Linked DNA regions of Oryzias latipes. The protein of the gene in region 4 purifies or fractionates together with the protein of the main gene of each other region. This does not show direct contact. Links are inferred from orthologs where the notes say so. Each region holds a gene or a part of one and is shown on either strand. Other genes may lie near its edges. The genes, in order: exosc10, zfc3h1, mphosph6, exosc5, dis3l, hbs1l and c1d.

The links.
Region 1: the proteins of exosc5 (region 4) and exosc10 purify together in Homo sapiens (co-immunoprecipitation; 8 studies listed by BioGRID and IntAct, with this or other methods). This does not show direct contact. The link is inferred for Oryzias latipes from reciprocal best matches to the Homo sapiens genes EXOSC5 and EXOSC10.
Region 2: the proteins of exosc5 (region 4) and zfc3h1 purify together in Homo sapiens (affinity purification with mass spectrometry; 3 studies listed by BioGRID and IntAct, with this or other methods). This does not show direct contact. The link is inferred for Oryzias latipes from reciprocal best matches to the Homo sapiens genes EXOSC5 and ZFC3H1.
Region 3: the proteins of exosc5 (region 4) and mphosph6 purify together in Homo sapiens (affinity purification with mass spectrometry; 6 studies listed by BioGRID and IntAct, with this or other methods). This does not show direct contact. The link is inferred for Oryzias latipes from reciprocal best matches to the Homo sapiens genes EXOSC5 and MPHOSPH6.
Region 5: the proteins of exosc5 (region 4) and dis3l purify together in Homo sapiens (affinity purification with mass spectrometry; 5 studies listed by BioGRID and IntAct, with this or other methods). This does not show direct contact. The link is inferred for Oryzias latipes from reciprocal best matches to the Homo sapiens genes EXOSC5 and DIS3L.
Region 6: the proteins of exosc5 (region 4) and hbs1l purify together in Homo sapiens (affinity purification with mass spectrometry; 3 studies listed by BioGRID and IntAct, with this or other methods). This does not show direct contact. The link is inferred for Oryzias latipes from reciprocal best matches to the Homo sapiens genes EXOSC5 and HBS1L.
Region 7: the proteins of exosc5 (region 4) and c1d purify together in Homo sapiens (affinity purification with mass spectrometry; 4 studies listed by BioGRID and IntAct, counting the BioPlex papers as one, with this or other methods). This does not show direct contact. The link is inferred for Oryzias latipes from reciprocal best matches to the Homo sapiens genes EXOSC5 and C1D.

What each region holds. Positions count from the first base shown.
Region 1 is NC_019865.2:9,465,298-9,470,007, reverse strand, and holds the start of exosc10 (exosome component 10), read right to left. Parts: upstream 3,053-4,710; 5' UTR 2,959-3,052; coding exon 2,836-2,958; intron 2,432-2,835; coding exon 2,295-2,431; intron 2,194-2,294; coding exon 2,070-2,193; intron 1,984-2,069; coding exon 1,879-1,983; intron 1,700-1,878; coding exon 1,540-1,699; intron 1,436-1,539; coding exon 1,327-1,435; intron 1,249-1,326; coding exon 1,173-1,248; intron 1,099-1,172; coding exon 988-1,098; intron 455-987; coding exon 311-454; intron 1-310. UniProt on the Homo sapiens protein: Catalytic component of the RNA exosome complex which has 3'->5' exoribonuclease activity and participates in a multitude of cellular RNA processing and degradation events.
Region 2 is NC_019864.2:5,620,576-5,624,190, reverse strand, and holds the end of zfc3h1 (zinc finger C3H1 domain-containing protein), read right to left. Parts: intron 1,353-3,615; coding exon 1,224-1,352; 3' UTR 661-1,223; downstream 1-660. UniProt on the Homo sapiens protein: Subunit of the trimeric poly(A) tail exosome targeting (PAXT) complex, a complex that directs a subset of long and polyadenylated poly(A) RNAs for exosomal degradation. The RNA exosome is fundamental for the degradation of RNA in eukaryotic nuclei.
Region 3 is NC_019864.2:5,684,852-5,689,662, reverse strand, and holds the start of mphosph6 (M-phase phosphoprotein 6), read right to left. Parts: upstream 3,211-4,811; 5' UTR 3,026-3,210; coding exon 2,978-3,025; intron 2,937-2,977; exon of another isoform or gene 2,695-2,936; intron 2,587-2,694; exon of another isoform or gene 2,536-2,586; coding exon 2,423-2,535; intron 2,336-2,422; coding exon 2,245-2,335; intron 2,150-2,244; coding exon 2,052-2,149; intron 1-2,051. UniProt on the Homo sapiens protein: RNA-binding protein that associates with the RNA exosome complex. Involved in the 3'-processing of the 7S pre-RNA to the mature 5.8S rRNA and play a role in recruiting the RNA exosome complex to pre-rRNA; this function may include C1D.
Region 4 is NC_019873.2:26,312,417-26,317,097, reverse strand, and holds exosc5 (exosome complex component RRP46), read left to right. Parts: upstream 1-1,500; 5' UTR 1,501-1,546; coding exon 1,547-1,643; intron 1,644-2,662; coding exon 2,663-2,776; intron 2,777-3,327; coding exon 3,328-3,449; intron 3,450-3,533; coding exon 3,534-3,674; intron 3,675-4,153; coding exon 4,154-4,243; intron 4,244-4,331; coding exon 4,332-4,427; 3' UTR 4,428-4,503; downstream 4,504-4,681. Other genes in the region: catenin alpha-1-like, read right to left, coding at 1-5, 80-273. UniProt on the Homo sapiens protein: Non-catalytic component of the RNA exosome complex which has 3'->5' exoribonuclease activity and participates in a multitude of cellular RNA processing and degradation events.
Region 5 is NC_019861.2:569,862-574,409, reverse strand, and holds the start of dis3l (DIS3-like exonuclease 1), read right to left. Parts: upstream 3,194-4,548; 5' UTR 2,906-3,193; coding exon 2,776-2,905; intron 738-2,775; coding exon 587-737; intron 1-586. UniProt on the Homo sapiens protein: Catalytic component of the RNA exosome complex which has 3'->5' exoribonuclease activity and participates in a multitude of cellular RNA processing and degradation events.
Region 6 is NC_019882.2:14,283,618-14,287,705, forward strand, and holds part of hbs1l (HBS1-like protein), read right to left. Parts: intron 310-4,088; coding exon 201-309; intron 1-200. UniProt on the Homo sapiens protein: GTPase component of the Pelota-HBS1L complex, a complex that recognizes stalled ribosomes and triggers the No-Go Decay (NGD) pathway.
Region 7 is NC_019873.2:11,213,160-11,217,206, reverse strand, and holds c1d (nuclear nucleic acid-binding protein C1D), read right to left. Parts: upstream 2,739-4,047; 5' UTR 2,634-2,738; intron 2,400-2,633; 5' UTR 2,396-2,399; coding exon 2,264-2,395; intron 2,062-2,263; coding exon 1,995-2,061; intron 1,550-1,994; coding exon 1,494-1,549; intron 1,389-1,493; coding exon 1,179-1,388; 3' UTR 974-1,178; downstream 1-973. UniProt on the Homo sapiens protein: Plays a role in the recruitment of the RNA exosome complex to pre-rRNA to mediate the 3'-5' end processing of the 5.8S rRNA; this function may include MPHOSPH6.

The DNA.
Region 1 (4,710 bases), on a different chromosome or scaffold from region 4:
TAAGTTCTCTGCATCAAATGACTCCAAATCAAAGTAATGCTGCTGGTTGGATTTCCTGGGTAAACTTCATTTAAAAAAATAAAAGAAATAAAAAACGATTTTATTTATGCGATATATATTCATGTGTGACAAAGTTGTGCTTTGTCCTTTCTCTTTAATAAAAAAATAAATAATAACATGGCATAAATAGTGATCTAAAGATACCAATTTATAATAGTGAGTAATCTGGCTTCAACAAATGTTATTTAATCCTTTACTTCAGCTGTTATTTTTAAAGATACTCAGAGCAAAAACACAGAGGTAACTGTACCTTCACAATAGTCGGGTCAGTGAATGCTTCATTCAGGATGTACATCTCACTGCGGAGCTCCAGCGTGTCAATTATGAAGTCCTCATCTCTGGTGGAGATCTGCATCAGACAGGTGAGGCCCAGAAAACTCCTGTAGGAATGATGCTGAGATGGAAAACAAAGTGTTCATTAAAAAGACTGTCATTGTTAAAATGCTGACATTTCAAACAGTTACGGTCTAAGGCAGGGGCCTGCAACCTTTAACACAAACAGATCCATTTAGTCCAGGTTCTTCCTGACAAAACCCAGGAAGAGATGCACTTCATAGAGTTGAAAAATAAACTTTAGTTTTGTTTTTGTGGCCATTAAGCCATTCATTTATTAAACATAGCTTTTAAATATTTACAATTATAAATTATAACAGTGTTTTCTGTTATAGAGGCTAAAGGTCACTTCGACATGGAAATCAAAACCGGAATCTTCCGATCAGAGGTCAACCAATCAGACCTTTTATCCTTATTATTCCTCCACTATGTTAAAAATCTAAGCCTAAATGACAAAGTTTAATGAACCAAAACTACAAACCCATTCTTTATTTAAAGTGTTAGAATTTGACTTCAGAGCAAAAAGAGAAGAAAGGATTGATAGGTTGCAGACCCCCAGTCTAAGGGAGGACGTCCTAAACTCTGATCCTCTACCTCAAGATCCACTGCAAATTCAGACAGTTTACACAGCTTCTCATTCAGCTCCACGAGATCCTCCAGAGAGTCGATAAAGGATAACTTTGTCTCAGCTATAGGTTTGTACATCTATAAAGAAAAGGCAGAAAACCTGTGAGACAAGAGGCCAACTCAGGTTATTATAGAAATGTGATAATTTTTACTTGAGGCTCTGGTTTGGACAGAAGGCTGTCTGGAACAGTGAGATGGTCCAGTTCATACTGGTATGGGTGTGAAAACCTGTGTGGACAGAAACTTCAGATAGAGGGCAAGAAATCTTACAGTACAAAACAACACTGCTCAGATAACAAAGCTTACATGTCTTCAACATGTTCCTGAGTTCTCTGCTGGTGAATTAAGTCGGCCAGGGCGGCAGGAACATCAAGATCCTCTGGTCTTTCATTGCGTATTTGCTTGTTGGTAAAATCTACATGGAAAAGAAGCAGTGAATTAATGTACATGTGCTGGAAGATTGATTATTACAAGTCACAGGGGAAGATGTGAATCTAAGCTGACAAACGTGTTTCTTACAGGATGGAAGAGGCTTTACTGCATTGGGCTTGATGAAGATCTTGGGCACAAAAGGTGTGTTGCTGTTATCTATCTTTTCCTTGAATTTCAGTTGAGGCCGAGCTATATTCTTGGCATGGAGAAGTCGGAACGTCTCGGATTGACTGCTGGAGCCGGAACCCTGGTTCACAGAGGCATCGTTTGAGAAAATCCAACCCTTTGTGGTGAATGGTTGTCAACCCTCTTCAAGCATCTTTAGCACTGAAGATACTGAATTCCAAATCTGACACTTTTTTTCGTCTGAATGTGGTCAAAGCAGACATTAGAGCCCAGCAGGACAAGAGAGGAGACTTATTTTACCTTGCGGTTCCAGCTGGAAACAACAATTTTGGGAGGCTGGAACCCAGCAGGCATAACTGGCTTCTGATTCCGGTTCACCCCGTCAGCTTCATCAAGAAGAATCCCCTGCACAGCAGAACGATGTGAAGGCCTCGTTTGTAAAAACCCATTTCATTTAGCAAACTGCTTCATTCTGGGGTTGCTGGTCGTACCGCTCTTTCAAGGATGACATCGTTGGAGTCTACGACCAAGTCAAACCTCTCCTCCACAGCTGTCAGCTTGTTCCGGTCTTTGACGTGAGATCTGCAGCCATGGTGCTGCATAATCTGACTCATGCTGACAAGACAAAACATATCATCAGTTGGTAGGTCTGAAGCGTGAATATGGAGGTCTCCGGTTTACCATAAACTTTTTTTGGGGAGAAAAAAAAAACTTACCACTGCAAAATCTGATCTCCTTGACTTTCACAAAACTCCTGGAAGCCTGGGAAGCTTCGATAGAAATCAAATTCATCTCCAGGCTGAGGTAAACCTGCAGATGCTTTGGTGGCTGATAACACCACACCAAATCCATGCTGCAGAGGAGAGGGAAGCTGTGCTGTTAGCAGTTAAGGGACCGTTTGTAACGAAGAAACACGAAGAACGTTTAGGATCACACCAAAATAAATTGAGGAAAATAACCGAATTTAAATACCTAATAAGCCTCTTATTTTATTTATTTATTTGTGAAGTTACCATTAAAGTGCATAATTCATCTAGAATCACTCAACTTTCAGTTAATTTCTTGCACTCGCATATATAGAAACCCACAACTTCAATAAACGTGAAATGCAGTCTTGTTATAAGCAATATAAGTATTACACACATCTACTCAAAAATATATATGTCATTGATTCATCAACAATTTAATCAACCACGTTGGAAGAGCCTTAGCCTGAGCCTCAGCTAAAAACTTTAGCATTTGCTGTTGTTCCCTTACTTTAACGAAGGCGTCAACGTCTTTAAAACCGGGACATAGCTCATTTTTATCCTCCTCGTTTGTGTCCGAGTTGCTGTCCAAAACTTCTCGGTTCGAGTCATCTTTACTTTTAGACAGGGACATGGTTTATTTTGTCGTGTGGACATGCGTGACCACGAAAGCAGTCCCTTTCCGCAATTCTTTCTTCTGCAGTCTTACCAGGGCACCGAAAGCGCCACAGCGACACCTGACGACAAGGAGTGGAAAAACAGCCTTTTTGTACCATTTCTTTTTCTCACTGATTTAAAGACTCACTCCACGGAAAATTGTGTTTTTGGTGTATTTAGCATGTTCTTGAAGCATTTTTGTCACGATTGAAGACAAACACTTTTGGAAACAGCCTGTAGCAGGGACATCATTGTCACACTGGAGACCATGAGCTCCACGCTCTGCTCCATTCCGATGCACCCAATTGCAAACAAATAGCCATGTTTTCCTTGTCCGAGCTGGCTCAAAACTGTAAGGCTGTATAGCTTCGATATTGCTCGCCATTTTTATCGCTTACTCTGCACCAACACTTCCTTCCGTGAAATCAGGGTTCAACTCCGGGCTTCTCCCTGTTCCCTTCTCTACTTCTGTGCCGGTCCCAAGCCCGGTTGCTGACCCCTGATGGGAAAAGCCAAAAGAGGAAGAAGACTCTGCACCAACACTCCAACTTACATATCCGGATGAACTTCTGCTGCTCTGTTGAAACTACGTGAAAACGACAGAGGTTTTCTGGTTTTGCCCAAAATTTAAGAAAAGCGTTTCTAATTGTGAACGCTTTCAAATAGTTTAAAATGTTCTCTGAGTGGGACTTTAAAATAAAAAGTATACCAATACTCGATTCTGATTGGCTGTTTCATTTAAATGGGACAATCCACAGGGATAATGCACACCTAAAAAGAAGTTCTGGTCACATAGCATAAATGTTCTATATCAATGCTTCTTTAAAACAAACTTTTGTTTCATCATCTGGACAAAAACAAGCGATAAGATGTGAACTTTCTCTCTGAACTGATGCTATACCCATTGTGATGATCAGCATGAATATCGCTTTACTTAACCGCTGTAGTCATGGTAGAAGCGGGAAAATTGTATTCGAAGTTTGCATTATTTGAAATGAACACACGCCGTGGAAGCCTGAACCTTCCAATGCGAAGACTTCAGGCATGCTTTAATTTCTGACAATGCCCACTTCCTCAGCAATTATCCCTTACTTATAGTTACGGAATAGAATTAGGGTCATTTAAAAAAAGGTGATGAGACGTTTCAGGTTTTTGTTATTCAGGTGTGTCTTCCAACTTTTATTTCATCAAATTCTGTTTTCAATCCCAGAATTCTGATTTTTTCCTCAGACTTCTCAATTTAATCCCAGAATTCTGATTTTTTTCCTCAATATTTTAGAAAATGTTATTTGATTGAAGATCAAATTCTGTTATAAACTGAAATATCGTTGGCTCATCGCCAAATGTTTTCCCAATAATCATCCCTTATAGAGATAGTTCTGTCTCCCATGTCACGACGTTTACATAGTGGGGATACAGATACAGATGAGTGTTTCATTGACCTTGTCCTGAGACTTCTATGATTTCTATCTCCGATTTTTTTTATTCCCGAGATTAAAACTTAAACTTTGTTCTTTTTTGCAGTGATTTTATTTTTTTGTGGTTTGCTTTTGTTTGCCTTTTTTCCAATCAAGATTATATAAAAACTGGCATTTAAAAAAAAATATTTGTCGGGTAACCCTTGTGCTATCCTAGGCACTTTGACATTGGGAGTGGGTCATTTAGACCCACTAGACAGTGCACTGAACCTTTTTTCTTCAATGATTTGTGATCTTCACTGGTGTCCATG
Region 2 (3,615 bases), on a different chromosome or scaffold from region 4:
AGTATGTATTTATGTATATACTGCATAAAAGCATTCCTATTTTATTTATATTTTTTTTAATATACTCTAAAAAATTTTTCCCTGTTTGAATTGTGATCCGATTGTTCGCAGATTTGAAACTTGTGTGTTGGAGGTGATGAGTTGTTTTCCTTTTACCAGCAAGAATTGTCATGTAGTCATTGAGGCCCTGCGGGGGGCAAAAGAGGTCTTGGGGGTGCACATGAGGTCCCAAGCTTGGCAAAGCTGACTTTTATCCACCACCATCATACTGTATGGTGTTGTGACAGCAGGCAAATTCTCATCACCCGCTTTCTGTAGTCCGCGTCGCAGAGGTCAAAGGTCAGTCTGTGGTCACAATAGAGTCCTCTGGTCACATTCCTCTGGATCTCCCATTATTCCTTCAAGTCTTCAGACCAGATGTTGAAGGATCTTACTTATCCAGGCAGTGGTGTCTTGACATTGAGTCATGACATCTGGACTTCAACTCTTCTTTCTTTCTTTGAAGCTTCTTGGATGAGCGATGAAACATTTTAAAAAAGACGACCAAGTCCAGATGCCACAACTCAACTTCAAGACCTTTGCAGTGAGAAACGTCCATTCGGCTGACCCTACTTCCTATCTGATGTGACCTAGAAAAGATTAAAAACGATCAGAGGCGTGTCCAAGTTTGTAGAAAATAATTTAATGACATCTGAAAACAACAAGTACAAAACAGACGCACAGATGTGTCCTTTGCTCTGTGACAACCCCAGCAGGTAGCAAGGGTACCGTAGTCTGGCTGAGTCCAGCGGCGCTTGGCGGCGTCCGTAGCATCATTAGTCTCTTACACTCATTCATCCAATCAGAAAACACTGCACAGGTGGGCGGCCACGCCCCCTTTTCAGCAGATCAGGGACCTGATTGCCTCTTTGATCAGTTTAAACAAAAGTCCAGGTTTTCCAACTCAAAAAAAACAAAAGGTGGGGTTCATCCCTTCAATCAGACATGTCAGGTTAACCCTCCCCTGCCCCACCCCCCTCAGGTGAGTGAGATAAAAGGGGAGAAATGAATCCAACTGAAAGGGGAGAGCAACTAAAAGAAGGTGATGAAGAGCAAAGGCGTCACTCAGCAGTCGATACTTACAGACTCTGCAGCTCCGCCCACCGCTGGAGGGGGTGGGAAAGAGGAGGCGGGGGTGTCGGCCTTACCTCATCCCTCACTGACAGCTGATCAGTTCAGTTCCATCACACATCATCAGCCAGCAATGGGCCGACTCCCCCCAGACTCACGCTGACCCCCGTTAGCCGGCAGCGGTCCACCAGCCGCTGCAGGCGCTGCGAAGCTCCACCCTCTGCTGCCTCGTACAGCAACCGCTGGGAGGAGACAGAGACGGAGGTGGTCAGAAGGGAATACAGAGGAAAAACGAGGTGGGGTAGGTGAAGAAGGGGAGGTTTGATGAAAAGGGAGCACGTAGTGAAAAATATGGGGGTGCTCACACTCACACCTGTGGTTACTCAGTAATTACACAGAAGGGGGGGGGCTGCTCCTACATTGTAAGGGGGGCCCAACATTTGTGAAAAAAGAAAGTTTAGGTGAAAATGTAGGACAATACTTATGAAGCATCCTCATTAATGTGAGCAAATAAAATCGTTTATTTACAAAAACCAAATGCTGCGTTTCAGTCACAACTCCACCTATGAATACTCTACAGCAGGGGTGTCAAACATACGGCCTGGTGGCCTTATCCGGCCCGCCAGGTGATTTACTACGGCCCACACATGAAGAGTAAAAATCATAAGGATGTTTAAAAAAGAAAGCGAGTTTCTAGTCCATTCCTGTGGCGAGTTATGCTTTTTTAAAGAAATAACCGAAATGTGCAATTCCGCCACTAGGGGGAGCAAAGGAAAGGAAAAACAGTTGAAACAGCATCTCTGCACGTGCCAAAAGCGAAACATAACAGCTCTGCGTCTGGGTAGGATGCACTTTGGTTCCATATGAGCCTTACCGCTGTTATCTTGCTATAAGGATGATCAGTAGCAACACCCTAATGACCAAAATGTTTTCAAACGTGAAGTGGAGTGAAGAGCCTTCCAGGAAAAATGGACAGTTTTTTTTCTTTCATGAAGATGAATGCAAAACCCAAATGCTTTGTATGTCATCAACATCGCAGTGTTCAAAGAATATAACATTCAGCACCACTAAGAGACTTACCATAAAGAAATGTTTCTGGATTGCTTCAGTGACAGATGTAAAATATTCAGTCTGTATTAATTTGAATAGACCAACTTTTCTTTAATTGAAATTACTTTTATTTGGGATCCATGGGCCCTAAGTGATTAGGCTACTATGTTGGTTGAGGCATTTTTTCCAACTGAGTAAAAAACTAAAACAAAGCTGTTAGTTTGCTTTTATGTTACTGGTCCGGCCCACTTGAGATCAGACGGGTTAAATGTGGCCCCCGAACAAAAATGAGTTTAACACCCCTGCTCTACAGTCACAACTCCACCTATGAATACTCTACAGTCACAACTCCACCTATGAATACTCTACAGTCACAACTCCACCTATGAATACTCTACAGTCACAACTCCATTTATGAATACTATACAGTCACAACTCCACCTATGAATACTGTAATCACAACTCCACCTATGAATACTCTATAGTCACAACTCCACCTATGAATACTCTATAGTCACAACTCCACCTATGAATACTCTATAGTCACAACTCCACCTATAAATACACTACAGTCACAACTCCATCTATGAATACTATACAGTCACAACTCCACCTATGAATACTGTAATCAAAACTCCACCTATGAATACCATATAGTCGCAACTCCACCTATGAATACCATATAGTCGCAACTCCACCTATGAATACTCTATAGTCACACCTCCAACTATAAATACACTACAGTCACAACTCCACCTATGAATACTCTATAGTCACAACTCCACCTATAAATACACTACAGTCAGAACTCCATCTATGAATACTATACAGTCACAACTCCACCTATGAAAACTGTAATCACAACTCCACCTATGAATACTCTACAGTCACAACTCCACCTATGAATACTCTATAGTCACAACTCCACCTATGAATACTCTATAGTCACAACTCCACCTATGAATACTGTAATCAAAACTCCACCTATGAATACCATATAGTCGCAACTCCACCTATGAATACTCTATAGTCACAACTCCACCTATAAATACACTACAGTCACAACTCCACCTATGAATACTCTATAGTCACAACTCCACCTATAAATACACTACAGTCACAACTCCATCTATGAATACTATACAGTCACAACTCCACCTATGAATACTGAAATCACAACTCCACCTATGAATATTCTACAGTCACAACTCCATCTATGAATACTCTACAGTCACAACTCCACCTATGAATACTATACAGTCACAACTCCACCTATGAATACTCTATAGTCACAACTCCACCTATGAATACTCTATAGTCACAACTCCACCTATAAATACACTACAGTCACAACTCCATCTATGAATACTATACAGTCACAACTCCACCTATGAATACTGTAATCAAAACTCCACCTATGAATACCATATAGTCGCAACTCCACCTATGAATACT
Region 3 (4,811 bases), on a different chromosome or scaffold from region 4:
TGACTTGTGGAATACCACAAGGATCCATTTTAGGTCCCACTCTTTTTAACCCTTTCACGTCAGAGCTTTAGCTCCAGTGCTGACTTTTGACTACTGTGACTATTCAACACTTTCTGGAGAGGACAAAAGCAGCCTCGTAACACTTTAACCCTTGTGCTATCCTAGGCACTTTAGCATTGGGAGTTGGGTCATCTAGACCCACTAGACAGTGCTCTGAACCTTTTTTCTTCAATGATTTGTGATCTTCACTGGTGTCCATGGATTACATGAAATCTTTCCACCTTTATCCACCTTTGTCATGGTAGGGAGAACACGTCAATGTAAGGGTGGGGTCATCTAAGATAGCACAAGGGTTAAATCAGCTGACTATTAGATTTTTTTTTTTTTTTAATGGTTTATTTCAAGCAATTAATTCGAAATAACACACAAAAGCAATACAATCATTGAATCAGTTATACATTCATACAACAACTAATCAAACTTAGGATAATGAGGCATATTAATAAATATTGCTAGAAAGGGAGAGAAAGAAAGCGAACTTACATAATCCCACCCCGTTATACCATAACCATTTTATTACATGATTTATCAATATCCGGTTTCTAGCTTTTATCAGACAGAATTAAGAATCTTGAAATATCAGTAAAGCACATGACAAAGATGAATTACTTAATTGTAATGTAAAAATAACTATTTTAGAAATCAACAGAATATTCAACACTTTGCAAAATGTTTGGCATATCAGTGAAAAGCCGTAAACGGTTGAAGAGTAACGGTAGTTGAAAGAATCTGTTATTTAGATGTGACTGGCAACATCTCCAGTGTTAAAGGGTTCACTTGTAGAGGCTCCCACTGGGTAACGTCACTAAGCTACACTTCATGACGTTAGGATGTAGACTTCCACAGCTTCTCCCAGTGTGGCCTACATCCCATTGACAAACCTCTTAAATATATTAGTGATGTCATAGAATGGACGACAGCTAATTTTCTCAAACTCAACAAGGACCAAACAGAAACTGATCCTTGGGCCTGAAGCCACACTCACTTCAAAACTCTGGTATAAATGTAGGAAGATCTTAACTTTAAAATCCACATATCAAACACAACTAAGACTGCTTGTATTCCTTTAACAATGTTGCCTTTTATCATATCTAGACGGGACTTTTGTGATGCTCTTTTAATCTATGAATAGATTCCAGCTCGTCCAGAATTCAGAGCTCACATCCCTCCTGGCTTCCTGTCAGCCTCTGGATGATTTGAAGATTCTCCTTCTAGTTTATAAATGTCTTTTTGGATTGGGACCTTCCTATTTATCAGATCTAGGTCCTTCCAAAACCTCCACAACTCTCAGATCCTCAGGTTCTGCTCTCTTATCTAAACGAAAAACTGAGGACCAGGACCCACATTGAGGCCTCATTTCAGTACCGTGGTCCTCATCTGTGGAACCTGAAGATCTGAGAGTTTCTGCATCTGTGGAGAGTTTCACTGTAAATGTTCATGTAAATTCTCAAAAACGTCTTCATTTAATTCAATTATTTATTTGGGTCTAAAGTATTTCATGGCTTATATTGTTAATCGTTTGTACTTTTATTACTCTCTTTATAGAGCGCCTTCTCAACAATAACTAGTAGCCACAGTTTTCTACCATCTTATGTTCACCTCTTGATTGTTGCTGGTTTTATGACTTTTTATAATTTCAACCTGTTTGTTTTTTATGTCAAACACCTTGTGTTCTAAGCACGTTGAAGAAAGACGCTCCACAAATGAAGTGTTTGATGGATTGAGCCAAATGAGTTCTTTATCATCAGCTTAACTACCCGAGGATGGAGTAGAGTTTAGACCACTACAGAGCAGATTCCATTCTCTTCCTGCGGCTGTGTAGCCACGCCCCCAAAGCTTATATGATCGACATGAAGCGGGTCGACGTTTTAGACCCGGTTCCAGTCCTGGCACCAGTCAGGCTCTGGATCCAGAACTGGAACCGATCTGTTGAGCAAAGAGCAACCCTATCAAATAACATCTGAGGAGGACAGGAGGAAGAGGAAGTGTACCTCAGAGCCATCTCCTCATCTGTGATGTCTGTCTGCATGCAGCTCACATCCTTCTCCTCTTCATCTTCATCTTTTGGATTCAACAAGGTCATCAGTTTCTGTGAGGACAACTGACAGGTCAGAGCACACATGCACACGCACGTGCGCATGCACACGCACGTGCGCACGCACACGGTTGTAGGTTGAACCTCACCTCAACCTCTGGGTTAAAGCCTCTGAAGGAGATCCGGCCAAACTGCAAGTCCTCACAGGGAGTGAAGCTCTCCTCCTCCACCAGCACAGTCCTGATGAAGGAGCAGAGGTCACCATCATCCACACCTACAGGTGTTCACACCACTGCAGGCGAGGCGTGCACGAGCACAGACACGTACTCTTTGGTGCAGAGCTCGGGCAGGTCCAGATACCAATGCTCGTCGCTGATGATCCTCCTCTCGTCTTCCTCCAGCTGCTTCTTCGTCTCTGCATCCAGCCCTCTCTGCATGAACTGCAGCCACAGATGACACTTTCATGCATACGCCTACGTGCACGCTCTCATCTGCAGTACAGTATACCTCACGAGAGTCAGTCCACCCAGGTGATCACGTGTCTTAAAGGTTTACAATGCAACTATGTGAAACCGAGCACCAAACTAAATCTAACCCACCTGTGGTTCGTCATTCTTAACCTATTAACTAGTTATGACCACCTTTCAGTCGAAAGCAGACCAACCAAAACAGTCAAGCCCCAAACTATGCCCAGCTCTGACAAATTCAACCAGAAAGATCCTTGAATGGAGATAAGACAGGCCCCTGCCGAAGGATGAAGAACAAGAGGCAGAATTATGGACACGAACATCAGTTCTGGTCCATTTCTCTCACTCTGGAGCCAACAAAATGAATCGACGCTAGCGGCTCGCGCCGCAGCTAGCTAATGGTGCTAGCATGTACCTTCATGCGCAGCAGATTCTTGGAGAGTTTCACTCCGTCGGCAGCCATCTTTCTCCGGTTAACACAAACAGACTATCCGCGCTAAACTAACCTTAACTGATTCAACCTAACCGTAGGACGTCGTTGGTTTGGTTACTGCAGCAGAACAAACGCCCCACGCGCCGGAAAAGACATGTTGTCAAAAGTCGAGCATGCGCAATTCAGGCAGGCCTGATTAATCAAGCACCGAGGAATCGAGGCTTTTCCTTAAGTTATGTATTTATCCTACAGGTAATTTTTGATCACAGAACAGTGAAGTGCAAGCTAAAGAACAGGTGAATCAACGGAAATGCGTTTGATGTGTAGTTTACAACAAAATAAACACAACACATTATAGATAAACAGTAATAAACACGACAGTCAACAAAACCCAACGGGTCACGTGGCAAACATTCCAAAAACTTTATTTGTAAGTCGCTTTACAACAATCGCTGATTGTACCGAAGTAGCCTACATTTTGTAAAAACATAATTGAAAATTAATTTAAAAGATAAGCATGTCATATCATAAGACGAAAGATAAAACACAGGTCAATAATTTATTTTTATTTTTTTCTGTTTTGACTTAAAAAGAGAGACGTGGAACTCTAGAAAACCTTTAGTTAAAAGTACCATAGTACACTTGAAGTTTATTTTAGTAAGATACTTGTATATGCATTGAGCAAATCTACTATAGGCCTAGTAGTGTAGGAAGTATGCTAACTGTATCCTTCGTCAGACTTATTTGGAACATCTTAAGTTTACAATAAAGCATAGAGGTGGTACAAAAAATGTCAACTTCAACAGTGACATGTGATCAGATGAGGCAAGTGAAGCTCGGCCTCACTGGTCAATGTGATAAAATAGAAAAACGTACACTAAGTAAATATGATTTTCCTCTGATCCGTATTAAAGACACATTTTCAGTTGACTCGACACATTTCCCACAGTTTCTGAGGTTAAATTTGCAGAATTTGACTGTTGTGCGCTCACATAGGGAGCAGAAACTCCGGGTGAGGCTCTGGAGCGCTTCGCGTCATGTCTGACTGCAGGACTCAGTTGTAACAGAGAGTACGGTCAGAGCGATGACTGTAAGGGCGGAGAAAAAGCTTCCAGGGAGGCGAGCCTCGCCAGCGTTTGAAAATGAATAACAATAGATGGGTTATTTTCACCATAAACATTTGCTAAACTTCCCTGCCAAACGTGTTATGGATATGTCACAGAGGCGGCCATTTTGCAATAAGCAATACAGTAAAAGCCATTCTGCTGCCCCTAGTGGAATGATGATGAACTGCAGGGTAAAAGACATGGAAAGTTTGTATCATGCTAATGCAGTGGCGGTTCTACACTAACTTACTCCCTGGGCGAGTAACCCCACAGGCGCCCCCCCCCCCCCCGCACACATACAAAATTTGACAACATCCTGTTGTGTTACCTATCTTCTTTTTAGCAATTTTACATAAAAAATGCATGCATTTTCTAGACTCGTATTACAGGGGGGTCAAACTCAGTCAAACACGCTTAAGGTTTTTGGCCGAAGAAGATAAACATTTACTGAACACACTAAAGCTAAACTTTTAAACCTTTTAAACTGAACTTTTTTAACATAAATATGCATAAAAACAGGAACACAAGTTAACTTAAACCCTAAATAACTTGTAATATTTAGCTCTCCATAGAAATATATTCTGTCAAAATTATACAAATATGAACATGCTGCAGAATAAAACAAAGAAAGCCTGGAAATATTAATAAGAAATTACAATTCAAATATTTCCGGTTTTTTTTTTGCTCTTTCATCATTTTTTAGAGCATTT
Region 4 (4,681 bases):
TTTGCCTAAACAGAGAGTCACTTCGGTCTCTTGTGGATTGACAAAGGCAGATGTAATTGACTAGCAGGAATGCACATACCTGGAGGCCACTGCTGCCATGTTCTCAGTAGCTCTGGCCACAGCGTGAGCCGCTGCCTCCAGCCGGGTGAACTGCTCTGGCTCATGTTCACTGTCGCACAGCAGCACGAGGAGACAAAGGTGACTGGAGATTGGGGCAACCACTTTCTCCACTGCTGCAGTTTTGATAAAACTTTGATCCAGACATGAAGGCATAGTTTCATTTATCGGTGAATTCTTCCCTCTGCGAAAGAATTAGCTGTGCTGCATGTATTATTTATCATGCTACACAAAGTGCCATATGGCAGTTCCCCATAGCAACTGTTGTCACAACGTTATTTAGAATTAATAACATATAAATCATCATTTCTGACATTATTCATTGATTATTGACTGCAGTGGTGGTTCTGCACTAACTTACTCCCAGGGAGAGTAACTCCCCAGTGCAATTTGACGTTCTTTTGTGTTCCCTATTTTTATTTGGCCATTTTACACAAAAGATGCGTGAATTTTGTGGGCTCGTATTACGGGGGTGTCAAACTCACTCACACAGGGGGCCTAAACAGAAAACATGCTTTAAGTTGGGGGCCCAACAACATTTATTTACCAAACTAAAGCTACACTTTAAAAAACAAAACAAAAAATACTTTTAAACCTTTATAACAGAGGTTTTTTAACATAAAAATGAATAAAAACAGACAGTATTGTTAATCCAGAATAAATCAAGTTAAACCGTTAATAACGGTGCTCTCCATAAAAATATATTCAGTCAAAATTATACAAATATGAACATGCTGCAGAACAAAATAAACAAAGTCTGGAAATATTTAATTCAAATTATTCCGTTTTATTTGCTGTTTTGTCAAATTTTTTGTCAGCAAGTAAGTTCATTTCTGCTTGCTGTGTGACGTGCTGTGTGTGTCTTTGTGAAACGTATCAAAGGGATTTGATTTTTTTTTAAACTGCTATTATGAAAACCATTTATAGGTCTTATAAAACATTAAAAACTAAATCATATAACTCCTCACTGGAATTAATCAAAGTTTATTTTGGCATTTTCCTAATTTTGTGCAACACCAACAGTAAAAATTCTCCAAAAAGCCTTAATTCATTCATTAACAAATGATCCATTGTTTATGTCTAATCTCAAAAAGTGCAGCTGTTTTACTGCCTGCATTACCTGCTGTCTTTATGTCAAATACTGACACCAATTAAATGACAGGCATACGTAAAAAATACATTTTATATGGAAAATAAAGACACGTAATAAAAGTGTCCAACAACAACAATAGCAATAATCATAATAATAATAATAATAATGTTAATAATATATTTTTTAAACTACTTACTTTGTTGTTGACTTTCTGACTGTTTTTTATTGAACACAAAATTTAAAACACAACATTGGTTTTGATGCAGAGCCCCTTCGCGTCGGTAAATAGATGACGTCATCGTCCAGCGACGCATCCCCTTCCGTGTTGGCAACGTGATGGAGGTTTCTGCTCCTTCAAATGTTTCTCTCCGAGAGTTTGGCTGCGAGCAGAGTTTACTTTCTCGGCCGGATGGATCTGCGTCTTTCGTTCAAGGTAACAGCTGAAGGAAAATGTTGACTTTTTTCTTTAAGAATATGAGTACAACTCCCGATTCCGCCCAAAGAATTATGGACAAACTTATTATTTCAGAGAAATAATTTGACTCTCGACTGCTGGCAAACGATCTTTAAATGAGTTTTAAGCTAAGAATGTCCTAAAGTACTTTTTGTATTTGCTTTATTTTGGTTTTGCATTAGTTTTAGCTCTTGGTAAATGTTGTAAAATTGTTAATATTCAAGAACAAAAATGAGCAGCTAAATAATAACTAAATATTTTTACGAACTTATCTTTTCACATTTAGTTTTTTGTAATCAAAAGTCAACTGCTGTTAAACCATTAAGAAGCCAAACATTTGAAAAATAATTTCTAGTCATTTTTCTATAAATAAAGATGTTGAAATGTTGGATTCATCTGTTTTACTTTCTGTGTTCAGATCAGCTCTCTCAAATTTAAATATTTATTTCTTGGTTTACTCATCCTCTTTTTTTCATTCCCCAAATCATCTTTGAATATTTGTATCCTAGTGGTCATTGTGAACTGTTTACATCGCCGGCATCGGACTGTATAGTCTGGGGTCTTGGAGCAACATTTTTTCAAAGATTTTCTAATAATTTCCCTATAAAAGTTTTTTTTTGGGGTAATGCTTTAAATTATTTTTTTAATATGACCCCATCTTCTTTTTTATTCTTTTTTTTCAAGATATTGTTTAATATAGTGTATGGGATAGGCTCCAGCAGGCCTGTGACCCTGAAAGAGACAAAACGGGTTTAGAAGATGAATGAATTATATACTATGTAATAATTCTACAGTAAACCTGAAACTGAACCAAAACCACCACTCTAAGCAGCAGATTTGGTCATGCATTTACTGCAAGATTTACACTGTTTTTATGTTTTATAGCCAAGATCAAAGTTTACAGACACAATAAGAATGTAGAAATCACATCATTGTTTCAGGTTTGTCCTCTATTTTAATAGAACTTTGATCTTTGTGTTGTTTTTGTGTCTCTGGAGGGGACACGAGTGTGATGGCTGGAGTTTATGGACCTGCTGAAGTAAAGGTCAGTAAGGAGATCTACGACCGAGCAACTCTGGAGGTGCTGGTTCAGCCCAAAGTTGGTCTGCCGAGTAAGTTCTGCTGCATGTCCTGGAAAAGTCAGATGCTGTCACGTGTGTCTGGTTTTTCTGAAACCAATTCAATCCTTTTTGTTTTTAATCTGTTGTAGAAAAAAAGCAAAAACAACTACTAATCCTTGTTTTTGTTGCTCTAAAATGAATAAATCCAGCTTTAAAGAAGGAAGTCTGTTAAATGTAGAGACAATTATAATCACTTTCAATGGATTCAAATGTTTATATGCAAATATCCTCTTAAGCCTGGTTTCATTCATGTCTTTGGGTTGAATGGAAATCACAGATGCTGTTTTATTTCTACTGAATCACAGTAAAAAGATGAACTTCCTCAGGTCTCATGTGGGTTTTAGTTTCATCTGAAGGCTCACTCGTATCTCAACAGTTCTGCAATTTATAAATAAGCATTAAGACAAAGGTCCGATCAAGGTATTAAAGTCTTTCTTTAGGAATGTTTTGTGCAACTGATTTATAGGATTACGCCATAAGGGGGAGCCAGTGGATTCCTTATCAGCTTTGAACTCATATCCCATCATGCCTCTGTTTTCCAGGTGTGAGGGAGCGCTCGCAGGAGCAGTGTGTGCGTGAAACCTGCGAGGAGGCGCTGCTGCTCACCCTCCACCCTCGATCTTCGCTCACGCTGGTCCTCCAGGTGCTGCACGACGACGGCTCTGTATCCTTTACTAAACCCGACCTCTGAACCCGCGGGGGGCGTGGCCTAGCACCTGCCGAGTCGTCTTCCTTACCTGCTCTGCAGCTCCTGTCCTGCTGCCTGAATGCAGCCTGCATGGCCCTCATGGACGCAGGTCTGCCGATGAGCTGCCTCTTCTGCGGCGTGACCTGCGCCATCAGCGCATACGGGCAGATCATCACTGACCCCACCTCAGCTCAGGAAAAGGTCAACCAAAGATGCTGACACTAACCTGAAAATCTTCATTTTTGCTGCTTTGAATGTAGAAATATAATCAGAAAGCAAGTTTAACAAAAAGTTCTCAATTTATGGTTTAATTTTCATGAAAAAAAGTCACATTTCATAGAATCCCTAAAACATGGATGTCGGTTTTCATCAGATCACACCCCTGACCTAACTTTACTGGTGAAACAAAAATCCAGCTGTGTAGTTTAGATCCAGATTCCAGCTCAGGGGAGGATAAACAAATTTAAAGGCTAATAAAAATTCTAACTTTGCTAAAAAAAAATGGGTTCATTTTCCACCAAAACTATTTTTTTTTTATTTCATAAAAATGCAGTTTTTCTTTAGTGTGTCACCTTCAGTTCATCCTTTTGTCTCAGTGTTTCAGTTCTAAAACAGTTTGCCTTTAAAATTGGTTGTCTGCCCGTCTGGCACTAAAGTCCTATTTTAATTTCTTTTCAAAGGAGAGTCGAGCTTTGATGACTTTTGCCATCGACAGTAAAGAACGTAAAGTAATGATGTCATCCACCAAAGGATCCTTTTCCGTTCATGAGGTCCGTCCAGCCGTTTTTCCATCATCTTCCGCTAAGCTCTCATTTCAATCCTCTCAGATGTTTCTTGTCTTTCTTCTGCTGGTTGCAGCTGCAGCAGTGTGTAGCGGTCAGCCAGAGAGCCTCAGAGAGGATCTTCCAGTTCTACAGAGACTCTGTGAGGCGGCGTTACTCCAAATCCCTCTGATGGAGACACACTTTTGCCCGTTTTGTTCTACATTTTTGTACAACTCCTGATGTAATAAATGTTATCATCCACACCACTGCCTGTCTGGTTTAGTTTTGACAAAACAAAGTGTATGAAGTCACTCACTACTCACTCCACTATATTTGGCGTTTGCTATTTTCTCTGGGTGTCCATCGATTATATATGATATCTGGACTGAGTCTGAGTCTGGACTGCATGGGGGGGGGGGATTAGAATAAGACTTTTATTTCGTC
Region 5 (4,548 bases), on a different chromosome or scaffold from region 4:
TCCTGAAGGGTGTAGCTAGCGTCCTGAAGGGTGTAGCTGGCGTCCTAAAGGGTGTATCTAGCGTCCTGAAGGGTGTAGCTAGCGTCCTGAAGGGTGTATCTAGCGTCCTGAAGGGTGTAGCTAGCATCCTGAAGGGTGTAGCTAGCATCCTGGAGGGTGTAGCTAGCGTCCTGAAGGGTGTAGCTAGCATCCTGAAGGGTGTAGCTAGCGTCCTGAAGGGTGTATATAGCGTCCTGAAGGGTGTATCTAGCGTCCTGAAGGGTGTAGCTAGCATCCTGAAGGGTGTAGCTAGCATCCTGGAGGGTGTATCTAGCGTCCTGAAGGGTGTAGCTAGCATCCTGAAGGGTGTATCTAGCGTCCTGAAGGGTGTAGCTAGCATTATGGAGGGTGTAGCTGGCGTCCTAAAGGATGTATCTAGCATCCTGAAGGGTGTATCTAGCGTCCTGAAGGGTGTAGCTAGCATCCTGAAGGGTGTATCTAGCGTCCTGAAGGGTGTATCTAGCGTTCTGAAGGGTGTAGCTAGTGTCCTAAAGGATGTATCTAGCGTTCTGAAGGGCGTAGCTAGCGTCCCGTAGCCTGCTTGTACCTGCGGCCCTTGCTGTGCAGCGCCTGGCAGGCGGTCTGGGTGAAGATGATGCCCTGCAGCTCCTTGAGCTCCAGGATCTCCAGGTAGTCGACCACCACGTCTGCGTCCGGCATCACATAGTGGGTCAAGTCTCCAGGCAGAACTTTGACACCTGTTTCGTTGAGAAGAACGTTTCTGTTTTATTTTCATAGAAAGATGATCTTCTGTCAAAAACTTTTCATGCAAAAAATTAAAAGCGTACTATTTGTTGAAATTACTCCTATTTGAAATAAGAACGTGTCCGTTCACACGTAACTTTCGAAATATGTCCAGTGCTGAACTTTACGTGCGAATAACATCAACCTTTAAATAAATTAACATTTTATACATTTGTTTCAAATGTATTAAAGTACCACTGCGGTGAAGTTAGTTGTTGGATATTCGACAGACATTCAGCGGGTTGTCCAGTGTGGACTCTTAGGGACCGTCAACAAATTAACGACTGCATGAGATGGAGAGGAATTTAACTTTGCAAAAATAAAAATAAATAAATTACTATAAACCTTTTCTCATTTTGTGTCTTAATCTATTTCTTTTGCAACTTTTTAATGGGAAAAATTTTGCAATCATAGATGCTCAATATTTTATAAGAAAACTGTTTGAAGGAAAGATTTTTTTTATTGCTTCCTAACTGTGTGATGTTATGATTGCAAATATATAAAAAAAATATGGCTCCAACATACAACATACACACATTTTATAAAGAAATTCTATTAAATATTTTTACAAAAATTCCTGCATTTCGCAAATTCTGTTGAGTTTTTTCAATAGCTTCCAAACCACATCACCCAAAAACATGAAACCTCTGCCAAATTGTTCTTCTGACATCAAACGCCAATTTGTTTAGGAATTAAAGATGACACAAATCTTACATTACTTTTTGTTTTAAAATTACAGCTGTTCACATCTAAAATCTAATCGTTTCTTCAATAGCTCCCAAACCGCCTGACCCAAAGATATAAAACCAATGTCGAATTGTTGTACTGACATTCCAACATCAGACACACACCTTTTTGTTTTGTAATCAAAGATGTTATATGTTTTATATGAATTATCTTTGGGTCAGTTGGTTTGGGAGCTATTGAAAAAGATGACCAGCTTTCATATGCAAACCTCTGGAATTTTTATATAAAAATTCATAAAAAATATATAACATCTTTGATTACAAAAGAAAGAGGTGTGTCTGATGTTGGAATGTCAGTACAACAATTTGGAATAGGTTTTATATCTTTGGGTCAGGCGGTTTGGGAGCTATTGAAAGAAATGACCAGCTTACATATGCAAACCTCTGGAATTTATCAAATATTGAGCATCTTTGATTGAAAAAACATTTCCCATTAAAACGTTGCAAAAGAAATAGATTATTTAGACACAACATGAGAAGATGTCTTATAGTAATTTATTTATCTTTGCAAAGCATTTAGTTTTGGGTTTGATCTAAAATCTTCTCCATCTCATGGCCTTGTTCATTTGTTGACGGTCCCTTAGAGACCCCACTGGAGCTCCGCGCTGAACGTCTGTCGAATATCCAACCTGACACTAACTTCACCGCAGTTATTTGAAAGTATCGTCAGTGTCATGGCAGCTTCTCCGAGCCCGCCAACTTTTACTCAGCGGGATCGATCACTGACAGAGACGGACTAGCAGGCTCGGGTTCGGTGTGTCTGTTCGTGTTCGGGTTTGGCGCTCTTGTTTGGGTTCGGTGCTCGTGTTGGGTTCGGTGTTCGTGTTGGGTTCGGTGCTCGTGTTGGGTTCGGTGTTCGTGTTTGGGTTCGGTGCTCGTGTTGAGTTCGGTGTGTGTTCGTGTTTGGCGCTCGTGTTGGGTTCGGTGCTCGTGTTGAGTTCGGTGTGTGTTCGTGTTTGGGTTCGGCGCTCTTGTTTGGGTTCGGTGCTCGTGTTGGGTTCGGGTTCGGTGTTCGTGTTTGGGTTCGGTGTGTGTTCGTGTTTGGGTTCGGTGCTCGTGTTGAGTTCGGTGCGTCTGTTCGTGTTTGGGTTCGGCGCTCTTGTTTGGGTTCGGTGCTCGTGTTGGGTTCGGGTTCGGTGTTCGTGTTTGGGTTCGGTGTGTGTTCGTGTTTGGGTTCGGTGCTCGTGTTGAGTTCGGTGTGTGTTCGTGTTTGGGTTTGGCGCTCGTGTTCGGTTCGGAGGACTACCGTTAGCACAGTCCGCCTGGCATAGGGAGCTGAAACAGGGGACCCGCTCTCTGAGGTAATGCTCCCGAACCACTCGAACCTTCCTCCCGCGGAACCTCCTCAGATGTAGAATCCTCTCCGTCTTTATCATCCTGAACTGCAGAGAGCCGCTCCTGTTAGCCAGAGCTTCATTGACGGACCGGAAGTACACGTCACATGACGTAGTCCCGCCTGTCGTCGTGATGACGTCAGGTCACAACTGCGTTCAAGTCTCAAGAAAAACAGACTCGCAAAACGGCAAGAATGACTTTATAAACCGCCACACCACATTGTGATCAAAGCTTCCGACTTTGGTCCAAATGTTCAAGTTCAGCTTCCGTCTCTGTTGTTTGATGGTCGACCGGTTCATTTAAAACTTCCAAACTCATTTATAGGATCTTTGTTTGTTTCCAACATCTTACAAAAATCATTCTATGTCACAGCTTTACACAAAAGAAGAAATAATCAAGTTAAGATCTCAGTTTATTAAATATCCCATTTTTCCAAAATACAAAGAAATCCATTTTAAAATACTGAATGCAGTCTATCCATGCAAGGAATTATTACATACATGTTTTGGTTTACCAGAGAATAACTGTTCTCTCTGTGACATAAATATAGAATCACTTGATCATCTGTTCTTTGTATTCATACGTTTACAGTTTTTGGGAGGATTTTTTTTCTTGGTTCCTCAAATTTTCCTTTTCCTATTTCTATTCAATTACAAAAGCAGATATTATTTGGATTGTTTCTGGTGATAATCTATTTGATTTGACATTCAATACCTTATTAATATCTGGGACATTTTTCATTCATAAGAGCAGATTTTCAAAAATCAAACCATTATTCAATACATTTCATAAAGAGATCAGTTTATATTTTCAATCTCTGAAATTAATAAAAAACAAAAATGGAATAAAATTGTCTATTTTCATTGAAGATCACATGTTTTATGACAATCACTAGTATTGTAAACTACAATTTTTATTTTGTTTCTTTAGTTTTATTTTATTTTGTATATTATTCTTTTTTTATTTATTTCTGTTGTAGTTATGTGTATATGTTTGTTTGAAGTTCAATAAAAAAATAAAATAAAGACTTAATGACAAGTATAATTAAATTATAATTATAAATTATTGGCCATAATAGAAAAACATCACATTCACAAGTGTAAAAACAGTAACCAGAAACCCAGGTTTGCACACTATTTATATATATATATATATATATATATTTATATATATATATATATATATATATAAATATATATATATATACTATATACAGTATATATTATATTAACCATATGAAAGCATTGAAAACACTTAATATTTATCAAAGTCATGGTTTGTTTGAGTTTATATTGTTTTTTATGGTATGCTGACTGTACTAATAATATACATATGAATAATAATAATAAAGACAAGTACATCAAACCGAGGGGAAATAAATAGTTACATCAGATAAAATAATAACATAATCCTCATCCCCATTTTGTATGTGAAGTTCAAAGATCCTGTGTACATTTCAGTAATATCAAATGGTTAAAAAAAATCATGAGCAATTCAACACTGGAGCCATTTAGTGTTAAAATGAGCACTTTAATACATTTAAATTCAGATTCTTAGACATTTCACACATTGGTCAAAAAATGCGATACGTTCTTTAAAAGAAATAAAACTATCTGTGTCTCTGGAGTCATTTTCAATGTAAAAAGATCTGCAGGCTATTGAACGCAGGACTGGACCAGCCCTT
Region 6 (4,088 bases), on a different chromosome or scaffold from region 4:
CTGAATTGACTTAATTTCCTTGTAGCCGCAACTAAGCTGTTTTCTACGCGTGACATTACAGTTACTCAGTCCAGCTCTCATATACAGTCAGATGTTTCATATCAAGAAGATTAGTATATGAGCTACAATTTTGCAAAGTTCAGGTTTTTCTATCGGTAACCATAAGTACATAATTAAAGAGGGGACGTAAGTTTAGATACCTGGGGACCTCAAAGCCCATGGTCTGCTTCTTGCCAGAGACAGTCATCCGGGCCACTTTAGGAACCACCTCAGAGTCCAAATGGTACTGAGACACATCTCTGCCTTTGGCTAGGAGAAAAATGACAACAGTTCCAAACTAAAGTATAATTTTAAAGTATCATGATCACAAACTGGTCTGATCTATGATGTTTAGAAAAGCCTGATGTTCCCTCTTGTTCTGAAAACCCAATTACATGATCCAATTTTTAAAAATTCACTCTTTCTAGTTTTTTTTAATGAAGTATGATCAATGGAGCGGCTTTGAATCTCTAATGAACAAAGTAATGTGTTTCTTTCTCTCATAATGCCACTGTAAAACAGAAAACTGTTTTTACCCCTTTTACAAACAGCAATGAGTAACAGCAAACACCTACTCATCGTTCTCGCAAGTCAACATCTCTGGTTGTAAAGGCTGATAAAAATGATAAGAATTTCAGTAGCTGCAATCAAATAATGATGTGACACGCATACACGAGTCGAGTGAAAATGCAGAATGCAATCTGTTGCACATATCTTGGTTGAGGAAGTCCATATTCTGCAGCAGAGACTTGTTGAGGTCATCGCCTCGTCATTGCAGTCCTAAATGGCCACCAATCCCAGTCATATCGATCCGCTCCTGATTCATTTAGGCTGGGCTACACAACCAAGCCTAGTGCACATTTTGTGCGTCAGTGTACGTGTCTGTTTGCATCTGGCATCCTGGCTCAGAAAGGGTTAATTTCAGAAGTGGCCGTTGCCTCCCATCTCCACAGAAATAGATCAGCATGATGCAGTGTTTCTCAAATGAATCTTCTGAGAAGGTGTTACCTCAGCAAGTGCTGGGCTGGAAGTGACTGTGCATTTTTTTACAGTGTCCTCACATCTGATCAAACTGTTGATGCAAATGAAGGCAAAAGACTGAGCTCAAAAACGTTTTTTTTAATAATTTTTTTTTTTTTACTGGTGTTAAAAAGGACAGATTCCACAATCATGCCATCTTGACCTAAATTAGTTGGTTAAAGTTAGAAAAATAACATTTTATCTTGTTGGTTCGCGCCTCTGTAGCCCGAACGTTGAGCTCTTGGCGGTCGGACTGTGGCCTTATTTTCTGCCCCGGGAGTTTATCTTCCCCCATCAGCTGATGCAGACGCCGTTACTGACGTCATCAGCAACATCATTTCCCGGCTACAGGAACATCAACCAAATGCATTTGTATTAATCACTGGGGACTTTAACCACGTTGATTTGGACAGGACTCTTTCTGAATTTACACAGAAAGTGGACTGCCCCACCCATGAAAAAAAAACCTTGATTTGCTGTATGCTAATCCACAGGGAGCGTACAGAACCACAGCCCTTTCCCCTCTTGGGAGGTCAGACCATAACCATGTTCTGCTCTCTCCTAAGTATGTTCCTATGGTCAGGAGAAGGCCTCTGTCCAAAAGGAAGGTGAAGAAGTGGACTCGAGAGGCTGAGGAGACCCTGCAGGACTGCCTTGAGTGCACAGACTGGGATGCTTTCTGTCTGCCTCATTGTGAGGACATCAACAGCATGACTGACTATCACTGAAGACATTCAATTCTGTGAAGACACCATCATGCCCTCGAGGACTGTCTACTGTTACCCCAATAACAAGCCATGGATTACAAGTGACCTAAAGGCCCTGCCCCACCTTGCTCCTATCCAGCCCCCTCATTGACTAGGACGACCTGCCAGATCAGGAGACAGCTGGAAAGAATTGACCAACGAAAGACTCCTGGCCCGGACAGCATCAGCACCAGGATACTAAAGTCCTGCGCCGCTCAGCTATCCGGAGTTTTCCAGCGCCTCTTTAATCTGAGCCTCAGTCTGATCAGAGTGCCGGCTGCCTGGAGAACCGCATGTCTGGTTCCTGTCCCCAAGAAGACTGCTCCCTCTGGCCCAAGTGATTATTGTCCTGTTGCCCTCACGCCTCATGCGGCAAAGGTGCCGGTGAGGATTTTGTTGGCCCACCTGAGACCTCTGGTGAAACCATCTATAGACCCACTTCAGTTTGCCAACTGGCCACACCTGGGGGTGGAGGATGCTGTTATTTATCTGCTGCAGCGTGCTCACTCACACCTGGATGGCGGGGGAGACACTGTGAGAGTCACATTCTTTGATTTCTCCAGTGCGTTCAACACCATTCAGCCCTGGTTACTGGGTGAGAAGCTGCAACTGATGGGTGTCGATGGGTTCTTGGTCTCCTGCATCACTGATTACTTGTGGGACAGGCCATAGTTTGTCCGGTTGGGCCGTGTCATGTCTGATGTGGTGATGAGAAGTGTGGGAGTACCACAAGGCACTGTGCTCTCTCCTTCCAGTTCACATTGTGCACCAGTGACTTTCAGTACAATTCAGAGTCATGTCATCTCCAGAAGTTCCCTGATGACTCTGCGGTTGTCAGCTGCATAAATGGTGGGCAGGAGGAGGAGTACAGGGAACTTGTGGATGAATTTGTGAGGTGGGCTGGAGAAATCACCTGCTGCTCAATGTGGAAAAGACCAATGAGATGGTGATTGACTTCACAAAGAAACAACCATCTTCTCGGCATCTTGGGCAGGGATGTGGCAGAGGTAGAGGAGTACAAGTACCGGTGAGTAACCATTGACAACAGGCTGAGCTGGAAGACTCTTTTTCCAGAGGAAACCAAGGTCCTTCAATATGTGCATCAAGGAGCTTGAAATTTTCTACCAGTCTGTTGTGGCCAGCGCTCTGTTCAGGGGGGGAGAAGCTGTGATGGAAAGGAGGACTATTATCCATCATGGATAATCCTGAGCATCTTTTCCATCCTGTACTTGACGGTCAGCGGAGCGCCTTTTCCAAGAGGCTAAGGCAGCTTCAATGTCACACCAACCGGTACAGGATATCATTCCTACCTCACGCCATTGAATTTTATACCTTTTGCCATAGAGAAGCTCCATCACTGTCCATTTTTAAAACACGCTTGAAAACCCATTTTTATGCTCTGGCTTTTAATACAACATGAGACTTCTGTTATTGCTGTGTTGCTGTACTGTTTTTTATTGTTTTATCTCTCTATTTTTAATCTTGTGTTTTAAGATGTTTTAGTGTTTGTTTTCTTCTTTTCTCGTGTTCAGCACTTTGTGTCGGCTGCTGTTGACTGAAAGTGCTATATAAATAAAGATGAGTTGAGTAGATAAACTCATTTCATGTTTGTTTTCTAAAATCTGTTATCTGACTGTTGCTTCCCTGATTGTCACTCATTGCTTGTTTGTTTGTTTGTTTGTCGTTGAGCCTGTACACGGTTGCTGCAACAGCCGAATTTCCCAAGATGGGATTAATAAAGTATCTTTATCTCATATTATTTTCCATGACTTTTGGGTTATAGGTGAAAAGCATCATTTAATACCTCATTTTAAAAAGTACCCTAAGAGAAAATGAGACTAAAAAGTCTGATTCACCAGAATATTAATGAACTTTCGCTAACCAAGTATTTTCTAAATGACTCTTCTGAAAAAAGAAAAAAGTCCCTTAGAACCCAGTGACACAGAAATCCAAGTCAGACAGATCATTACTTTATGATGAGGCATTTTTTCTCATGTAAAGTCATGCAATTCATATACATCACGCTATCACAAATTCTTTTTTTTTTAAGTGCATCAAACTTACAAACATAGATCAAGCCCAGTTTTAAACAAAAACGTCTTGAAATTATTCAGAAATGACTGCATAGTGTCATTTCTAGCATTTCATCTGCTGTAAAAAGAAGAAATCTGAGACGGAAAAATGTACTCAAGAGATAAATTTCAGTTCTTCCTTTAGCTAGGGGCTTTTGTTGACCTTACAGGTTTCTAGCACCTGCGTCAGGCAAGACACCAATCAGCTCCT
Region 7 (4,047 bases), about 15 Mb from region 4:
CTTCTGCAGCTGTTTGTGATCAACACGCAGGTCCTGCTGGTAAACAGGTCAAAGGTTTGAGCCACATTGGAACGGTTAATTATTCTCATTCAAAACCCAGTAATGACCTAATAAAACATTTTACTTTTCAAGCATAATTTTGCTTCACATTGGCTCTCTTCCTTTGTAGTGTTTGCATTTTCCACACTACAAGGCGGCCCATCTATGAATGGTCCATCTTTGAAATCATGTCAAATGTAAGGCGCACTGAACAATCAGGCATGTTAGGCGAGACAGAAGAATCAGAGATGAATCCACACTTCCGTCAGACTTTAACTGCGTTCACAGTAACTACTTTGTAGCACGCTACACGTCAGCCACGTTAGAAGCGTTGGCATATTTGACCTCGGAAGCAAGTGTTTTAAAAATTATTTTTGAAATTTACAAAAATGTAAAAAAAACGATTCAAAAAAGGAAAAGAATTTGGGATATTTACTCATCAAGATTCGTGTTCTGTGAATGCCACTTTTTTAAAAAGCCTTTTGAACACATGTTTCTGATTATTGGCATTTTTCATATAATGGAAGTTTTTTCAAAGTAACATCCAATTCTCAATTGACAATTCAATATGTTATTCAAGCTTGGAATATGAAAAATACACTTTACTATTTAGACTTCAATATTAAAAATATTAAATAAAAAAATTTGCATTTTAAATTCTCATTGTGTTATATCATGTAAAAAAAACATTTATCTTCTTGGACAACTGAAAAGTTGTTTCTGTTAATCAAACCCGATTTATTTGTATTTGTAGTTTTCATTTGTCAACTCGGGTCATTTTTTCATACATAGTTATTAAACTAAAGTATGTTCAACCACAAAAGGCTTTAGTTCCTTAAAAACATAAAAGCAGCTGTTTTTTCCATGTGGACACATTTTGTGATAAAATATATAAACAAATGAAAGGAAAAAAAATAATCAGCTTGTCTTATAAAAAAAAAAAAAAGACAAACAAAGGTGAGTGAAAGTGTAACTCAACACTAACGTAAAACAGTGAGATTCATGGAATCCTCCTGTTTGTGTCCAAAATGATTTCAGAGGATTCCTTCCACCAACAGCAGGTGAGCTGCTGTCACTCAGGAACTCTTCATCTCCTCTGTGTGGATGGCGTGCTGCCATGGGAGCACACACTTCCTCCTTCACTTCCTCTGTTTCTGTCGTTTTGGAGGCGGCTCTGCGGCTGTGGAATCTGCTTGTTTTTTAGACTCGTTCTTTTTCCCGGAGTCTTTGTCGTCCGGCTCGTAAAGGGCGCTCCTGATGAAGCGGGAGGCGGCGCCCTTATCCAGGCGCGCCGCCTTCTTCTTGTCTGTAATCTCCTTGACTCGGTTCATGTACGCCCGGATTCGCTCCTGCAGAACAAAAACGCAAAATCCAGATCAACTAGAAATGAATGAGACTGAAATGAATGAGACTTCAGAGAAAAAGCAGGAAAAAAAAAATCAGGAAGCACAAACCAGTTCCTGTTTGATGCCGTGTTCTCTGGGGTTTATTCCTCGAGTCACCAAATACACTGTAGACAGAAACGAGGAGACAACACTGCAGCAAAACACGACTTCAAAGCCCCACTCGATCATCTTTTGATCTATTGTAAAAGCGTTCCCAGTGGTCTTCTTACTATGATCATAGTAAGAAGCGTAAATCCAAAAACCTGCGTGGTTTTCCAAGACATAGTTTGTGCAGAGAAGCAGTAGAAATTCACCTGAGTTGTGGGTGGGACTTAACCCCGCCCCCTTCCTCTCTCTGTTGCTACCAGACCAGAGCAGGGAGTTTGTGGCCGCCCAGCAGAATTTTTTTTCATCACAAAATGATCTTTTTTTAAAACTGCATCCTGACTAACAACGATTTTAATAAAAAGAAATCCTCAAAAATGACACTTTAAACAGAATTTTACTTGATCCAAAAAACAAAACACAAAATCCCAACAAACTTTGATTGGAGTAGACTCCAGAACTTACCCCAGAACAACGAGTTTAGGGTGTACGCAGACATCAGGTCCAGTTTGGCCTGGTCCAAAGGATCCAGCTGTGTCACACAAACAGCACTTAATACAATTTAACAAACAGTGACAAACACCAGCTTTATGTCACATTCAGACTTGGCTTGCCAAAAAGACTATAGGGAGAGTTGGACTGAGTGGCTGAGCTGGACTCTCTGGCCTTCCCACACCTTTCCCTGACAGAAACAGAAGCTGTTAGGACATTTATTGCGTCTGGATCCACGTTACCTTCACGAGCAGCTCGTTTCTGGACATCGACATCAGTTTGTCCAACATGGATTTCACCGCAGTCACGGAGGAGTCGAAGCTCCGCAGCTGCTCGTCGATCTCATACGGGTATTCCTCCTCCGTAGACGCCATCGTCCTGGAACAGAAACGTCCGACGGGATCATCATAAAAGTCACATCAGCAGAATGAAACCGGCAAATGATTATGTGAGTCTGACATTTTGTTATATTTGGAGCATCAGTTCAGAGGCGGAAACATTACTCCACCAACTTTGCGATTATTAAGTAAAATTTGGAAACCAGTAAAAGATTAGAAACCACAGTTTCAGTGTAAACTGCGCTATTTAGAAGTTAATAACAGATGTATTTACCTTTAGCATCCGCGTGCTCCAAACGCCAAACCGGAAGTTCTGACTGGTGGCGGTGAGGTTCTTCCTGTTTATGCATTACTGCCCCCTGTCGTCTGGAGGACTGAAAAAGACTAAGCCAGTGAGTCAACGTTGATTGCCTCCACCCAGCATTTGAATATAACATGTAACTTTTGAATAAATCCGTTGTAAAAAAAACTAAAAGAAAATTCCTTTTTTCTTAAAAACTACATTTATAACTGTCCATTGTATCTATTTCAAATCAATCTGAAAACCTGACACTCTCTTTAGTTTGAGACAAAGCAGTTTGGTTTTGCCTTTTTATCCTAAACATTATTTCGTCTGAAACTTTTAATCTAAGGTTTTAATGCTTTTCTTATCACTATATTTACAAGCTGTAATTCTTTGTTATAATGACTATCATGTATGTAATAAAATCAGTTTGTAGACATTTGTGTTTTAAATAGGATTAAGGGAATTTCAGGAACATCCTCTGCTTTATTAGCATGATTAAAAGGACAAGACCTGACTGCTTTCTGCATGTTTGATCACTGTAAATTGTTCATATTCTGTCATTTCATAAACTTATTTTTATATCTACAAAAACTAGATTACAAATATGGATCATAATAGGCAAAAATATCATCACAGTCTCATTTAAGATGAAGTAATGTCAGAAAAACATTTTCTGTTTGGTAGATTCTGTATAGTAACAATGCTTCTGGGGAATACATCGTTTAGTTCAGCCCTTTAGGGGCGTCCGTGGTGCTGTGGTAAGGCGGTCGACCTCCAATTGGGAGATTGCAGTCTAGATTCCCACCGTGCGTTGAAGTGTCCTTGAGCCAGACACTGAAGCCCACCTTGGCTGTGGTGAAAAGGTTGGTGTCAGTGTTTGGCAGCGGAGTTCACCAGTGTAAAAAAAAGACAACCAAATTCACCAGTGTGTGAATGTGTGTGTGAATGGCGGTGTGACTGTAAAGCCCTTTTGGCCTTTGAGGAAGGTAGAAAAGCGCTATACAAGTATAGGCCATTTAAAGCCTGCTTTCCTTTCAAATGGAGCCAAATTTGTAAGAAACATGCATTTGTTAGATCAGCTGCAGATGTTTTTATGGGTTGTGGCAATTAAAGGTTTTGGTCAATCTTCTCAGCCTCTTCAGCCGTTAACCCTGGACGGATTGAAGTTGAAAGAAAAAAGACACATTGAGACTTCGTATATTTGTTTGTTGACCTAACAGAGGAGAGGAAAGCAGAGCAGGTGCAGGGCTGAGTCTGTCCAGCAGGTGGCAGCATTTCACAGGTCAGAGGAGTTCAGAACAGACCACATGTTTGCTTCACATCGTTTCAGTGTTTCTGGTTAGTCAGCTCTCATGTCTCTACACCAGCAGGGAAGAGCAGGAAAGTTGATCTTCAGGGCTTG